Linked DNA regions of Macaca fascicularis. The protein of the gene in region 1 interacts with the protein of each later gene in a pairwise test. Links are inferred from orthologs where the notes say so. Each region holds a gene or a part of one and is shown on either strand. Other genes may lie near its edges.

What was found.
Region 2: the proteins of MAD1L1 (region 1) and LGALSL interact in binary tests that used the Homo sapiens proteins (3 or more experiments, as listed by UniProt). The two-hybrid records come from large-scale screens. The link is inferred for Macaca fascicularis from reciprocal best matches to the Homo sapiens genes MAD1L1 and LGALSL.

The regions. Positions count from the first base shown.
Region 1 is NC_088377.1:35,704,243-35,712,152, forward strand, and holds the start of MAD1L1 (mitotic spindle assembly checkpoint protein MAD1), read right to left. Parts: upstream 4,798-7,910; 5' UTR 4,724-4,797; intron 2,533-4,723; exon of another isoform or gene 2,530-2,532; 5' UTR 2,353-2,529; intron 1,961-2,352; exon of another isoform or gene 1,958-1,960; 5' UTR 1,948-1,957; coding exon 1,798-1,947; intron 1-1,797. Other genes in the region: MRM2 (rRNA methyltransferase 2, mitochondrial), read right to left, coding at 7,564-7,910. UniProt on the Homo sapiens protein: Component of the spindle-assembly checkpoint that prevents the onset of anaphase until all chromosomes are properly aligned at the metaphase plate.
Region 2 is NC_088387.1:57,467,347-57,475,051, forward strand, and holds the start of LGALSL (galectin-related protein), read right to left. Parts: upstream 4,805-7,705; 5' UTR 4,511-4,804; coding exon of another isoform or gene 4,490-4,510; coding exon 4,454-4,489; coding exon of another isoform or gene 4,044-4,453; intron 3,690-4,043; coding exon 3,618-3,689; intron 3,438-3,617; coding exon 3,349-3,437; intron 2,691-3,348; coding exon 2,513-2,690; intron 270-2,512; coding exon 126-269; 3' UTR 1-125. Other genes in the region: uncharacterized protein, read left to right, coding at 198-244, 4,044-4,510. UniProt on the Homo sapiens protein: Does not bind lactose, and may not bind carbohydrates.

The DNA.
Region 1 (7,910 bases):
TCCAAGACAGACTAGAATCCCAAAGCTTTGACAGATAGGCCAAGAGGTCCCAGACATTTGCATCAAGGAAATTACAGCATTTCAGACCAGAGTTGCCAACTCTGTCATCCAGGCTGGAGGGCAGTGGCGTGATCTCAGCTCACTGCAACCTCTGCCTCCTGGGTTCAAGCGATTCTCCTGCCTCAGCCTCCCGAGTAGGTGAGATGACAGGTGTACGCACCCGCCTAATTTTTGTATTTTTAGTAGAGATGGGGTTTCACCAAGTTGGTCAGGCTGGTCTCAAATTCCTGACCTCAAGTGAACCACCCACCTCAGGCTCCCAAAGTGCTGGGATTCTAGGCGTGAGCCGCCGCAACCAGTTCAGAGTTGGCAACTTCTAATTTTGCCAGTGATAAAAACAACAACCATCTATTACCTTCATAATTTCATAAAAGAGCATTTACATATACATATCACATATATACATACACACACATATACACGTGACCTAATCTCAGAATACAAAACTGTCCTCATGAAGAAACGGCAGTAAGCAAGCTAGCAGCCAGCATTCTTTTTTTTTTTTCTTTTTTGAGACGGGGTCTCGCTCTGTCGCCCAGGCTGGAGTGCAGTGGCGCGATCTCGGCTCACTGTAAGCTCCGCCTCCCGGGTTCACACCATTCTCCTGCCTCAGCCTCCCGAGCAGCTGGGACTACAGGTGCCACGCCCAGTTAATTTTTTGTATTTTTAGTAGAGACAGGGTTTCACCATGTTAGCCAGGATGGTCTCGATCTCCTGACCTCGTGATCCGCCCATCTCGGCCTCCCAAACTGCTGGGATTACAGGCGTGAGCCACCACATCCAGCCACAAGCTAGCATTCTAATAAACACATATTAATTCAATTATGCAACAAAACAAATGCACACACACACAGCTTTACCAAATGCAGCAGGGCCTCATCTGGGCTCTGAGAGCACAGGAAGCCAGAGCCTCCTCTAATGGGCACAGGACTACAGAATGGCTCTGGGGCCTGCAGCAGGGACTGGGAAAGAGGGTCCAGGCAGAGGGGTCTAGAGGAGCCTGTGCAGCCACAGGGCCCAGGCAAGGCTGGAGACACTACTTGCCAGCACTCCCCAGCACTCCACTCCCCACCACTCGGGGGCCCCGTTATCCCAGCCCCACGTGGGGCTGGGCCCATCACTCTTTGGATCCTGAAGTCCTTCAGGAGACCTGAGTCCTCTGCAGTTGTGTCTACAGTGAGCAATCCCCCAAGAACTAGTAACGAAACCAAATACAACTATTTTATAGAAGAAATCCGTAAAAATCACCCCAAAATCTGAAAATGGCCCTCTACAGCCTGAGACCACAAAACATCCCGTCCTTCTGCTCACGGCTGTGGCTTTGTCTCTGGGCTGCCGGGCACTCCCGCACTGTGTTTCCGACACAGCCTGCCCGACGGTCCTGCTGCTCACACTCCCAGGCAGTTTGGGTTCTGTCCTCAATTAGATGAACGAACTGGCTTTCCGATCCTGTCACCAGGGTCTGTGGGTGCACTTGTGTGAATGCAATGCTGAGCGCCAGGCCCACTCAGGGTGCTAACAAGGCAGGCCTTCGAGCCAGGATGGCTCAGGGCCCCAACTAGCCTCCAGCTACTGCCCCAAAACGAGAAGTGGCCACAGTGAGGCCTGGAAGATGAGCAGCTGGTCTCTAGGCTGAGCTAATACTGACCCACCTCAACTACAGAACACTTGAACAGGCCCTGCCTGGGCCCAGGGGTCTCCCCAGAGAAGACTCCCACCCAGGCACATGCCACTCACCTGCATGCTCTGCTGGTACTGCATCTGCAGAGAACCTGGGGCCGAGGTGGAAATATCCAGTCCAGATCCTCCCTCCACCCGCTGAGAGATGAAGTTGTTCAAAGATCTCAGGGTGGATAAAACCGTGGTGTTTTCCCCCAGGTCTTCCATGGTTGCTTTCCTTCTGGGAACAGACAAAGGACTGGTCAGGGCCAGCCTTTCTACGTGCCATCAGCTGTGCAGTCAGCGGGGCCTCTGGACATCCCCACTCCCCTAACGCTCATTGGAGCCCATAATACACCAGTGTCTGTAACCACATTCTTCAAAGGCAACTGGGAGCCATGCTGCCAATTTACCAGACAAAAAATGGAAGCAAGAAAGCATGCCACCAAATCCCCGCCACTGAGCCACCGACTGAGTCTCAGCTGCACACAGACAGCTGGCGCCCAAGAGGCGGAGCTCAGCACTCAGGTGGCACGTCCTCCCACAGCACTGTAAGAGGGTTCTCCAGAGAGACAGAGCCAACAGGACAGAGACAGACACACGAGAGGGGCATTATTAGGGAAACGGACTCACACGATTAGGGAGACTGTCCCACAACAGGCCGTCTGTAAGCTGGAGCCCTAGAAGCCTGGCAGTGTGACACAGTCCAAGTCTGAAGGCCTCAGAGCCAGGGGGGCCGATGGTGTAATTCTCAGTTCGAGGAACTGCTGGAACGAGTCCTGGAGACCAAAGGCCGGTGAGCTTGGAGTGCTGCTGTTGAGGAGAGGAGAAGAAGGGTGTATCCCAGCTCCCGCAGGCAGATGGACACATTCGTCTTTTCTGTTTTTGTCCTCTCCAGGCCCCAGGCTCTTGGATGGTGCCCCCAACACTGGGGGGTGGATCTTCAGCACCTGGTCCACTCAGACTCCCAAGCTCATCACCTCTGGAAACACCCTCACAGGCACACCCAGAAACAAAAATGATGCTTTCCCAGGTTTCTAGAAATTCCTGAATCCAGTCAGCTGATGCCTGAAACTAACTACCAGGAGCACTCACAAAAAAGTCTGGCCTCCTGCCCAGGTGGGATGGCTCACGCCTGTAATCCCAGCACTTTGGGAGGTGGAGGCAGGCAGATCACTTGAGGTCAGGAGTTCAAGACCAGATTGGCCAACATGGCAAAATCCCATCTCTAATAAAATACAAACACTAGCCGGGTGTGGTGGTGCGCGCCTGTAATCCCAGCTATTCAGGAGGCTGTGGCACAAGAAACGCTTGAACCTGGGAGGTGGAAGTTGCAGTGAGCTGAGACCGCACTACTGCACTCCAGATTGGGTAACAGAGTAAGACTGTGCCTCAAAATAAATAAATATTAATTAATTAATTAAGGCCAGGCACTGTGGCTCATGCCTGTAATCCCAGCACTTTGCAAGGCCAAGACGGGCAGATGACCTGAGGTCAGGAGTTCGAGACCAGCCTGGCCAACATGGTGAAACCCTGTCTCTATTAAAGCCGGATATGGTATGCACCTGTAATCCCAGCTACTCCGGAGGCTGGGACAGGAGAATTGCTTGAACCTAGGAGGCAGAGGTTGCATGCAGTGAGCTGAGATCGCACCACTGCACTCCAGCCTGGACAACAGAGCAAGACACCGTTTCAAAAAATAATAATAATTAATTTTTTAAAAAGTCTGGCCTCTGGGAATCAGAAATGAGGCATGCAACAGTGACAGTAAAGATGATCATCACAGCTGTGCTAATTTTCATTGTTTATTTCTAGTGACATTAATAAGTACTACTACTATTTTCAACTAGGTACTGGAAAGAAAGGTATCTGACATTTCCGAGCACGGAGACTTCTTGAACTTCAGCTTCCTCATCTGTCAACTCATGACAGTGAAATCTACTTGCAAAGTTGTGGGGAATGGGGTCAATATCCCTCAAGTCTTCCACTGCTAGATAATGGGAATGCAGCCGCAGGTTGACCAGCACTACATTTGTAAGCTCAATCTTAACAGGGTGGTGAATCAGGTCTTTTTACACAGATTCTAGAGATGATGAAACTGAAGCTTCAAAAAGTTACAGAACGGAGATTGGGAACTTGGGTCTGTCTGGCGTTGGAAGGCTGAAGACAAGCAGCAGCAAAGAACTTTGCACCCCTAACACCTGCGCTGACGATGGTCTCACGGCAGGCCGGCCCACCAGCCCTAACAAGGGGAACAGCCAAGCGCGTTTAACAACCAAAGGTAGAACTCCTGCAGCTGCACAGTTTCTGAGTTTCCATTGAACAAGAACCTCGGCCTGCTGCAAGCAGAGCCCTGAGCTCCCCAGGCTGCGAGCCCCGCAGAGGCAGGCCCGCCTGCAGGGAGGCTCCACAGCCCAATTCCTCCATTGCCCAGAAGAGACCAGGGCGACCCCTGCCATCCCCGAGGGGAAACCGGGCCCACACGCCCCCTTCCTGAGAGCGGGCCCGCGCGAGCCACGAGGATGCCAAGAGCCCCTGCAGCCCCGACTTCTCCACCAGGCGCCAGCTCAGGCCCCTTCCTCGGCGCGCCGGCACCCTAGCCCGGAGACCCCCACGGCGGGCACGGGGACCCCCACGGGGGGCACCCGGACCCCGGGGCTGGGGCCACGAGCACGCGCCCCTCGGCCGCCCGCCCTGGCACAAGGGACGGCTGCGGAAACCCAGGCGAGGGGCCCGCTGTACCCAGCACAGCCCGAAGTGGGGCGTGGGGACAGCGGAGTGGGGACAGGGGAGTGGGAAGAGGAGGAGAGAGGAGGGGAGAGCACAGAGAGGGGAGCGCGCCCATGGGAGGCGGGGCGGGCGCGCGGTCCTGAGGCACGGGGTCCAGGGTCCTTGTGCCCCACCCTGGCGGGCACACCCGGTCCGGGCCCTCGGCCCCGCCCTTGCCACCCCCGGGGCCCCAGGACCCCAGAACCCCGCCGCCCGCGAAGGCCGGGCCGCTCACCTCAGTCTCCCGCAGCCCACTTGCCGCCGCCGCTCGGATCTCCCTCCGCTCCGCCCGCGCCCACTTATCGCGACACTTGCGCCTGCGCTCTCGCGAGACCTGGGTGGGAACCGGGCCGTAAAGAACCGAGTCTTCGCACCAGCTGGTCCTGGGGCCTCCGTGCCCGCACCCAGAGCCGCCACCCCCGGGAGACTACACACGGAAAGGACTCGGAACCGAAGGCCGGGCCAAGGCGCAGTCGGGGTCCCCGACCCCGCGCAGGACGCGCTTCCACTAAGGCTTTCGCCTCGCGCCGTAATGTGTGGAATAGCCGCGCCCATAGCAGCCTCCTGCAACAAACTTGCATTGTTGACTCTTCCCAAAATTTTGCTACTCAGTATCAGCTTGAATCAATCCGTTATTTTGCTTTTATCTGGGCCCACTAGAAATGCAATTTATGCTACTAGGCTACCTCCTAATGCTCTGCAAGCCAAGGCACAAAATCCAACGGGGTGAGGTCAGGCCCCACTATTATTACGGTAACCTTCGTCTATCCTTCAATTTGGAGCCTTCCTGAGAAGAGTGTGCCTCCTCTCTTCTTCCCACCTCTGCCCAGTCCCTGGCTTCCCTCTAAGAAGATGCTGTTCCTAAGGGTCTACATTGAATTTTTCTTCTTCCAGAGAAAAAGACTTCCAAGTTGTGTGCCCCGGAAATGAAAGGGAATGAGAACGAGGTGGAGTAGGGCAAGAGAGTCCCTGGACTTAACTACCTGACTGCAACCAGAAATAAAATGAAAGGCCAAAACATCTGGCGGCCGGGCGCCGTGCCTCACGCCTGTAATCCCAGCACTTTGGCAGGCCGAGGCGGGTGGATCACGAGGTCAGGAGATCAAGACCTTGACTAACACGGTGAAACCCCGTCTCTACTAAAAATACAAAAAAAAAAAAATTAGCCGGGCTTGGTGGTGGGTGCCTGTAGTCCCATGTACTCAGGAGACTGAGGCAGAATGGCGTGAACCCCGGGAGGTGGAGCTTACAGTGAGCCGTTTCAAGGCACTCCAGCCTGGGCGACAGAGCGAGACTCCGTTTCAAAAAAAAAACAAGTCAAAACATCTGACCTGCAGTTTCCTTTGGGGAGCTGGACCAAGCCCCAGATCCCTGATGGCGATTCCTGGGTTTCCAGACTTACCGCACTGGTGCTTGGAATTGAATCATAGTTACAGTCAACACACTTCTTGAGGGATGAGTACACCTCCAGGAAATGGCTTTGAGGAAGCCAGTTTTAAAAAAACAAAACTTAAAAGCATGAAAGTCCCTTACAATAATGCAACTTCTATTTTATTAAATACAAAGCTGCGGCCGGGCGCGGTGGCTCACGCCTGTAATCCCAGCACTTTGGGAGGCCGAGACGGGCGGATCACGAGGTCAGGAGATCGAGACCATCCTGGCTGACACTGTGAAACCCCGTCTCTACTAAAAACTACAAAAAACTAGCCGGGCGAGGTGGCAGGCGCCTGTAGTCCCAGCTACTCGGGAGGCTGAGGCAGGAGAATGGCGTGAACCCGGGAGGCGGAGCTTGCAGTGAGCTGAGATCCGGCCACTGCACTCCAGCCTGGGTGGCAGAGCGAGACTCCGTCTCTAAATAAATAAATAAATAAATAAATAAATAAATAAATAAATATAAAGCTGCATCGAGTTCCTAGAAGAGTAAAAGAAAATAAACACACCACATCACTGCTTGCTTTGGCAATTACCTTTATGTTCTTGGGAGTCCAGACACAGATACAAATTTCCAGCGAAAACCAAAGCACACCCAGTGCATGAGTAAATTCAGACCATACGTCTTCCCTAATCGCTCTGGGAACTTCTGCTGCTTGAAGAATGCATGAATCTCTAGATTACTCACCAGAAAGAAAGAATTTAATCCCCAGATGGAAATTTCAGATTTTTCTTTTGGTTTGGTTTTTTGTTTTTTCATTTTTGTAGAGACAGTGGGTGTTGCTATGTTGCCCAGGTTGGTCTTGAACTTCTGACTTCAAGAATCCCCCAGCCTCAGCCTTCTGGGATTATAGGTGTGAGTGGCCTCACCCAGCCCCCAGATTTTCTACTTTAAATAGCCACACTAAGAACTGGAAACCTGTGCATGGTGCTCTGGGAGGAGCAGTGGAAAGCCTGTTTCTGTGTGACAGTTTAACAGTCTGTAAGATGAAGTCCCGTCAAGGCACACATGGGCACACCCATCCCTGCCTCAGCGGATTCCTTCTGATTCTTCCCACAGTCTGTCTCTCTTCATCCTTCCATCCTCACCTCTTTCTCTTGATAACTTTCTCCTCACAAATCAATATAGAGGACTTTTTCATTTTCCATGGCCCCTGAACTTAGTTTTGTCATCTCTTTTTGGTTAAAAAGAGAGAGAGAAAGAAAGAGACTCCCAGCCGGGCGCGCTGGCTCACGCCTGTAATCCCAGCACTTTGGGAGGCCGAGATGGGCGGATCACGAGGTCAGGAGATCGAGACCATCCTGACTAACACGGTGAAACCCCAAATACTAAAAATACAAAAATTAGCCGGGCGCGGTGGCAGGCGCCTGTAGTCCCAGCCACACGGGAGGCTGAGGCAGGAGAATGGCGTGAACCTGGGAGGCGGAGCTTGCAGTGAGTGGAGATCGCGCCACTGCACTCCAGCCTGGGAGACAGAGCGAGACTCCGTTTCAAAAAAAAAAAAAAGAAAGAGACTCCCCACTTGTCCTGTTCCATCTCCAAAATCAGCTCAGATCTCCCAGGAACTCTTCCGGAAGGAGCTCAGGCTACGTTTCGAGCTTAAAAGAAGCTAATGACCATTATGAAAATGGCACAAGAAATCCTCACTGCTTCACAGCGCCCTTCCTTCCCTGGTACTGTGTGGCCAAGAAGTACACTTCTGATGACTCTTTTCTGCTGGCTTCAGGTTTGATGATCCTTACATTCTGGAATTCCTCTGTCAGTCTCCTCTGTAACCGATGGCTTTGACTTCCAGCCCAGGTTTTACAAAGGAATGTTCCCCGAGGTTGCAGGATGTCTGGGGTCATGCTGAGAAGGGTCAGGCACAGGCTGATGAGCCTGTCATGATCGAGGTCCCGGAACCCTGTGGCATTGGGCGCCATGTCGCTCAGAATCACATCTGCTCTCCCACCAGGAAGCACCTCGAGGATTCTCTGTGAGGTTCTCGGGT
Region 2 (7,705 bases), on another chromosome or scaffold:
AGTGAAGCTTGCCATTTGTTTTTGTTTTCTTTTTAAGTGTCCAGATCTTGCTAGGACACTTCTTCCAGACCAACAGTCAAGACAGTTGTGGCATGTGATCCTATTTGAAATAGAGGTGGTTTAAATCAGCCAAGCTTGGTGATCTGGAGGTCTCCGTTTATCTTTATGGTGTCAATTGCAGATAACGTTTGAATGCGATGGTAAAAATCAAAAAGTTGGTGTCCATCCACAAACACTCGGAAACGTGGGTGCTCACAAAGAATTTCCACCTGGAAGAAACAAAATAATAGTCCACAATTTCAATGAACCCTACTGGGGAAAACAAATAATACTTCATTTTAGAGAAAAAAAGGCAGTATCTTCAGTGGTTCACAAACATTAGAATGCATTGAAACCTGCAGAGGGCTTGTTAGAACACAGATTGTTGGGCTCTACCTCCAAAATTTCTGATTCAGTAGGTGTTAAGAATGTGTGTTTCTACCAAGTTCCAAGGTAATGCTGATATTGCTAGAATAGAGAACCCACTTTGAGAACCATTGCTCTACACTATTCAATATAATACCTTTTAAAGATTTAAAACTGCATTCCTTTAACATATCTCCCTTCTGCCTATACTCCAGAAAGTGATGTAAAGTAGCATAGACTTGTTTATATGGCACTTAATGCCTCCACTGTCATCCCCTGAACTATTCTATTCCACCTTCAGAAGGGCCCCTCACAAGGCAGAACTGGCATCCATTAGTAGAAGACCATAATAGTCTAGACACTCAAAATATGCTAAGCACTAAGGCAGAGAGAAGGTTACACATAGTAATTACCACTGGACAAAGAACATGTAATTAACAAGGTTTTGTTGAGTCAAACAGAAATACCGGTTCCATAAGGTAAAAGCTTTTTCCTCAAGTAATTTACCATAAAGTTTAATTACTGGTAGTGTGCTATGATGGGTTTATTAAAAGCATTGGCATTCACCATGTAAGGAGGCTCCATATGTGCTATTAGTCACATTTAATTCATATTACTAAAATTTTATCACCAAGAAAGGCCTATTTCACTTCAGTTTTGTTGTTGGGAGCATTATATTCCTCCTGGCAGTCAGAAGCTGTGGTTATTCACATTCATGAGCTATGCATTAAGGTTCATCACTGAGAAACTATCCTCACCAAGAGGAGCCCAAGGGGACATCACCATTCTAGAGAAGGGGGTGAGGAGAGAGAATGGGTCAAGGGTGCTTTCCAGAGACTATAACTAGAAGGGCAACTATCTCAATGCTACCACTGATGCAAAAATCATGGATTCTTATTTTCCCCTCAGAATGTAAGAAGGGAAGTGAAATAATTACTTCTTCATGAGGCACTTGAAAATTTCTAGATGAAGGGTAACCAGTTAAGTGTAGTTCTGTTTTATTGGGCTCATATGTAACATGGAGCTTTTAACTGAGTTGTCATTATTGTGATGTAATGTGAAAGTGTAATGACAATTCATCACTAGGTCTGACCCCTTTTCAACACCATTACTACTTGCATTTCCTTTTTTTTTTTTTTTTTTGACAGAACCTTGCTCTGTCACCCAGGTTGGAGTGCAGTGATACAACCATAGCTCACTGTAGCCTTGAATGTCTGGGCTCAAGCGATCCTCCCGTCTCAGCCTCCCAAATAGCTAGGACTACAGGTGTGTGACACTACACCAGGCTAATCTTTTTTTTTTTTTAAAGAGGCAGGGTTTTTGCTATGTTTCCTAGGCTGGTTTTGAACTCCTTTGCTCAAGCAATCCTCTTGCCTCAGCCTCCCAAAGTGGTGGGATTACAGGCACAAGCCAATGTGCCACTACTTGCATCTCTTATTTGGCATTGCCTTTCATAGAGGAAGGTGCTGCTAATGTTGCTTGACTGAATGAAAAGTTTGGATTGTGCTTCCTGCCCAAAAGATAGTGGGGAGCAAATCTTTATTCATCCAGTCCCAAGGGAAGGAATTTGTCAGCCAGTCTGTAACCGTGAAATAGACTGCGGTTAATTAATCCAGAGCGGGAAACAAGGACACAAACATGGCCTCATTAGCAAAGGGAACAAGAGAAAATGAAATGATCATCATCATATTCTTTAAAATGTCATACAAATAAGGCTGAGAGCTAATAAGTAGCTCTCAACCTTATTAATATTTATTAATATTTAATAAGTGGGTACTTATTAGTATTGATTAATCAATCAGATATTTGGGGGTAGGTATCTACTATATGTTGGGTACTACATAGAAAAGTTACTTATTCTTAACAATTTGGTCACGTAAATATGGGTCTATTTAAATGTGTGAGCTGAATAGAACTAACAGTTACTATGGCAAGTGTTAATTTACATCAGCAAACAGAGCTCTTTTGATCTTTTTTTCACCATTGGGTGACAAATTTCCTGGACATGCAAAAATTCTGGCCGCTTCAAGTGTTCTTGGCACACACTAGGTAAGTCGAACATTATCACCCTGCCAGTGGCTGGAGCCGAGGCACTCGAGGTACTCACCCTGAATGGCTGGTCTGGAATGAATGGGAAGTAAGGGATTGCTGACTGTTCTTCACCCCTCTCCCCAGATATACAAGAATTTCTGAGTAGCTGCCGATCTGTGAACACAGCTTTGAGTTCAATTGCCACATCGGCAGGAGGGTCTTCAGAGTCCCCACAGGTCAAGCTGATTGCAAAGCTGAAAAGAAAATCATCTCATTGATTCAGGGTTGGATATAAAAACATTTCAAAATGACCCAGGTGCTTATATTTCCTGTTCCTCCTCTGGGTTTGCCCGTTTTTAAGAGGCCACTACTCTTCAAGAGAGGTTAGATTATGGAGAAGTAAGTCAAACCAGTTTATTTTGTTACCTAAAGCAAGCTCTGGCGAAAACTTTGGTGGAGGTGAAAATGACTAAAATTAGCGATTTCAAATACCCCAAAGCGACCACACATCTATGTCTTAATCCACTTCGGAATTCTCAAAAACAGCCACAGAAATTGACCACGGGAAATAATGTTAAGTTGGGTTCTTATTCATCTTGATAGTTCTTGCTTCTGGCACCATGTTTCAAAACCATAAATAAAAAAAAAAAAAAAAAAAAAAAAATCCTTTGGCCTCCCTAAGGGTCAAAGAGAAAATGTGGGCCTATATTTATAATCTCTGATATAAATAGCTGTCTGGAGAAATGATGGCTGGGATTCATACACATTCTTTTCATGGGAACATGGTACTTTCTTGGCACTGGCAACTAGCAACATTGTGCACAAGGAGAGGAAGAGGAGGAGTGCTAAACCACAACAGGAGTGGGCAGGGCTCAGCCACAGCCTGATAGTTCTGTAAAGACTCTGCCTTACCTCTCTGGGTTGAGGTCTACGATGCCCATCACTAACACCTTCTTGCCTGGTCTCATGCCACCTTTAATGTGCCCACAAAATGGAACTATCTGCAAAGGGTGGGAGAAGAAAAATGAGTTTCACAGCCTGTTAGGGAAGAGCCAAGACCTCAGATCCTGAAGGCCTGACCCATTGGAAAATGCAATAAACAAACGAATAAAATTTTAAAAAGCAATGAGAAAGGAGGAGGGTACAGGCAGAGACACAGAACACAGAGCAAAGCCATTTACCAGTCGTGGGAAGTACACGTCCGCTTGAACTGGAGAGCCCAAAGAGTTGTTTAAATGGCCATCATCTAGTTTCTAAAAATAGAAGCACACAGATTGGCTTTCCATGGGCTCTTTTTTGGGGGGCTGGAGGAAGAACCCACACAGATGTGGTGGAATCCAGCAGTCTTCCACACGCACACAGTGTCTGCCGATGATGCCTCTTCACTGTCTCTTAGATAATCTCATAACCCCCGAAAAAAACCCATCCTTTCCACCCGGTGGTTAAGCTTCTGAAGATCCGCAGACCCTTCAGATCCAGATCAAAATCAAGGTCGAGGTCCACCGAGGAGCCAGAGCCCCACGCCGGAGGAGGGCAGGCCCCTCTTCAACCGCAAACGCTTCTGGAAGCGCGGTGGGCCAGGCCTGTCCTCCGGGACGTGGCTGAAGTGGAGCGGCCGTGCTCAACTTCTCTCGGGAGCCCCGGGCGCCGACCCATTTCCAAGGGGGAATTCCCCGGGACGTCGGGGGCGGTGGCAGGGCGCGCGCCCCGGACACACTCACCCACGCGCACACCTGGCTGGCGGTTGCACGGCACAGATCGGGCTGTCGGGCGCCCCCACCCCGCCATCCTCCCCAAACTCCCTCCCCAGCCCAGAGCCCCGCAGCCCGGGAGCCTCTCCAGCCCCCAACACCGGCCGCGCGCAGCCGGCGGCTGCTAACAGGTACCCGGCGCCTTCCCACGCGGGGGGCGCCGGCCAGGCCTGCGGCTTCTCAGCACCCCAGCACTGCTGGAGCAGGCGGCAGCGGAGTGCGGGGCGGCGGGGAGGGGCGCCTCGCGCGCGCCCTGCCACACTCACCACCACGGCATCGCTGTCGGCCACCGATCCCGCCATCTTCTTGCCCGGCGCGGCGGGGTACGTGGGACGCAGCGCGCGGGCGGGGATCCCGGGGCTGTCCTGCGCGGGGCGGGGGCGGGGGCGCGGGTCCGAGCTGGCGCGGGCGCGCGCACACACGAGGGGGCGCGCGCGCGCACGCCCGGGGCCCGGCGCCGACCTGGCAGGCAGGGCCTGGGAGGAGGGGAGGGGAGGGAGGCAGCGCGGGACGCGAGGGCCAAGGTGCTCGCCGCGGCCCGGAACGGCCCCGGACCTGGACCGACGCTGCTGCTTGCTACCGCTGCCGCTGCCCGACCAAGAAAGGTGGCAAGGGCCGTGCCGCGTCGGCTCTGGGCAGCATTTAAAGGCCTCCGGGGCCCGGCTTGGGAACCGGGAACAGGGCGGGGACCCGGCGGGGCTGCCGCGGCTTGCTCAGCGGGCCCTGCCCCTCGGCCATTGGACGGTGGCGGAGGCCGGGGCGGGAGGGACGGGCCTGTCCCGGTCCGGGAGGGCGGGGACCCTGTCGGCGCACACCGGCCAGAGGGTGGGCAGGGCCGGGGCTGGAGAAGTAAGGGCCCGAGCAGGTCAGGTGACAGGTGCTCGTGCCACCGGCGCCACTCCCTCCAGCCTCCTTCCTCCTCCTGCCACGTCCTGGGGGCTGGTGGGGCGGTGGGAGGCGAGGTCGAGGGAAGACTGGGTGCTGGGGGTGGTATTCCAGAGTGGGAGACTCGGCAGGATTTCTTTCAGAGAATTCCAACAAAATCGGGGGAAGGATTCATTCTGCTCTCTAGGGCAGAAAGAGAATGGAAGGTCTGAAGGCTTGCAGAAATAAATGTGTGACCTGAAAGAACGAAGCAGAGAGGACTCAAGGTAGGGACCTTTCTATCCCAGGAGGCTAGAAACAGAAAGGTCTCTCTTCCCTGTGGAAGGACAGGCAGGTCTGGGCTTCCCTGGACTCTCTCGGACAGGAGTCTAAGCCTTACCAAATCAAACTGGGCACAGTCACTGTCCTCAGGGAGCCTCCATTGAGCCCTGTTTTTAACAAGTCACTTGCCCAGTCTAGGGTAGTAAGCTTCTCACTGAAAATCTCCTCATACCCTTCATGGAGTACTTCCCAGGGGATACACACCTCTTTTATTCAAGCCAGAAATTCCTTTATGGCATTTCCACACTAGGATGATTATGTAACTTCTCAGATAAAGCTGTATCAACATATCCTCTATTAGGTGACATCCTTGGCTGAAACATTCCGTTGCATGAATCACCGGGGCGTTCTACACTAATAAGCAGGGAGCATGTGTGACCTACTGCAGTCCCAGAGGGCCCCTCAGAGGCTCCTTTTTTTTTTAAATTGAGACGGAGTCTCCCTCTGTCGCCCAGGCTGGGGTGCAGTGGCGCGATCTCAGCTCACCTTCGCCATCTCAGCTTACCTTCGCCGCCGGGCTTCTTTCTAGTCACTGCAATTGGCTGTGTGGCCTAGAACATCTCTGCGGCTTTTGTGTCTTAGTTTTCCCTTTATGGACCAGAGCTAATCATGGTAATCTCAGGTGAGCAGGGAGAATTACCTACACACGCCTGTAAGCCTCAGTCATATCCTCTGGAAGTGGTTCTCGAACTAGAGGCTGAAGCGCAGCACGCTTGTGGCTGCAGCACACTTTGTTTACCAGTCTTAGCTCAAAATCACACTTTATTATATTTTAAAATATTAGGCACTTATAGGAAATTATTGACATTTGAAAGCACACTTTAGTATGTATCAATTTCTGAGAGTCTGGTATAGAGAAGAAGCATTAAAGTGCAGCAGTTCTTTGTCATTAACTGAGTGACACAATAAGGGTGATACAATATGTGATGGAGTTAAAGAGTCGGTGTCCTGGGTTCAAATTCTGGCTCTACTATTCTCTAGTTATGTGATCTTGGAAAAATTACTAAACTTCTTTGTGCCTTAGTTTCTTCATCTGTTATACTCAGAGATGATGGTGATGATAATAATGCCTATCTCAGGTTATTGGGAGGATTAAGTAAATGCTTTCCTTAAAACAGTATTGGGCACATAGTGAGCACTTATTATACAAAAATACCGAGTGCTTGCCATATACCAGGCACTGGGGATCCGGCAGGTGACTTTTTTTTGCTGAGCTTACATTCTAGTGGGCAAAGGAAGTCAGTAAACAAAATATGTTGGGTGATAAAAGCGTTAGGAAAAAATAATAAGGTGAGGTGTGGTGGCTCATGCCTATAATCCCAGCAATATGGGAGGCTGAGGCAAGAGGATCACTTGAGGCCAAGAGTTTGAGACCAGCCTGGGCAACACAGAGAGACTCTGTCTTTACAAAAATAAAAAAAATAGCTGGGTGTGGTGTTGTGCGCCTGTAGTCCCAACTACTTGGGAGGCTGAGGTGGGAGGATCGCTTGAAGCCAGAAGGTCAAGGCTTCAGTGAGCCGTGATTTCACCACTGTACTGCAGCGTGGGTGACAGAGTGAGAACCTGTCTCAATAATAATAAAAATAACTTAAAAGCCAGTAGAGAGAGAGACAGGAGATGGGGTGATGCTATTTATACAGGATGGTCAGGGAAGCCACCTGTGGTAAAGTGACATTTGAGAAGACCCCTGAAGGAGAGGGGTGAGTCATGTGGACATCTGGAGGAAGAGTTTGCTGGCAGAGGGAACTGCAAGGGAAAAGTCTCCAAGTACTGGGGCTGGGGGCAGTGACTGAGGAGATATGTAGCTAGAAATGGATAGCCCTTCTACACTGTGGTTGAGGATTGGCTTTTACATGGGGAAATAGGAAGACATTAAAAGTTTCTGAGCAAAGGAGGGACATAGTTTGCCTTCTACTGTAGATGCATCCACATGCTGCTGTATGGAGTGGCCTTTGGAGAGAGGGTGGATGGTAGGAGGGAGGGTAAAAATGGGACTTAGGAGATTCCTATAGCATTCCAAACAAGATGTGATGGTGGCCTTGACATGGTGGAAGTGGTGAAGCTGTGAGAAGCCCTGGGCCCCTGATAAGTGCTAGCTGTTATCATGCAGCTTTGAGAGTTCATATGGTCTTCTGAGCCTCAGTTTCCTCACTTGCAGAATTAAGGGGCCGAGCTTATTCATCATTCCCTCTTAGCTCTTAGAAAGTTCTGGTTCCTGAAAAGCTGTGTGAATACTGTCTAAATTGAAATGGGTTTGAGAGTAGGTGCTGCTGAATGAAAATAATCTTGGGTTGAATCTTTTGATAAGTGCT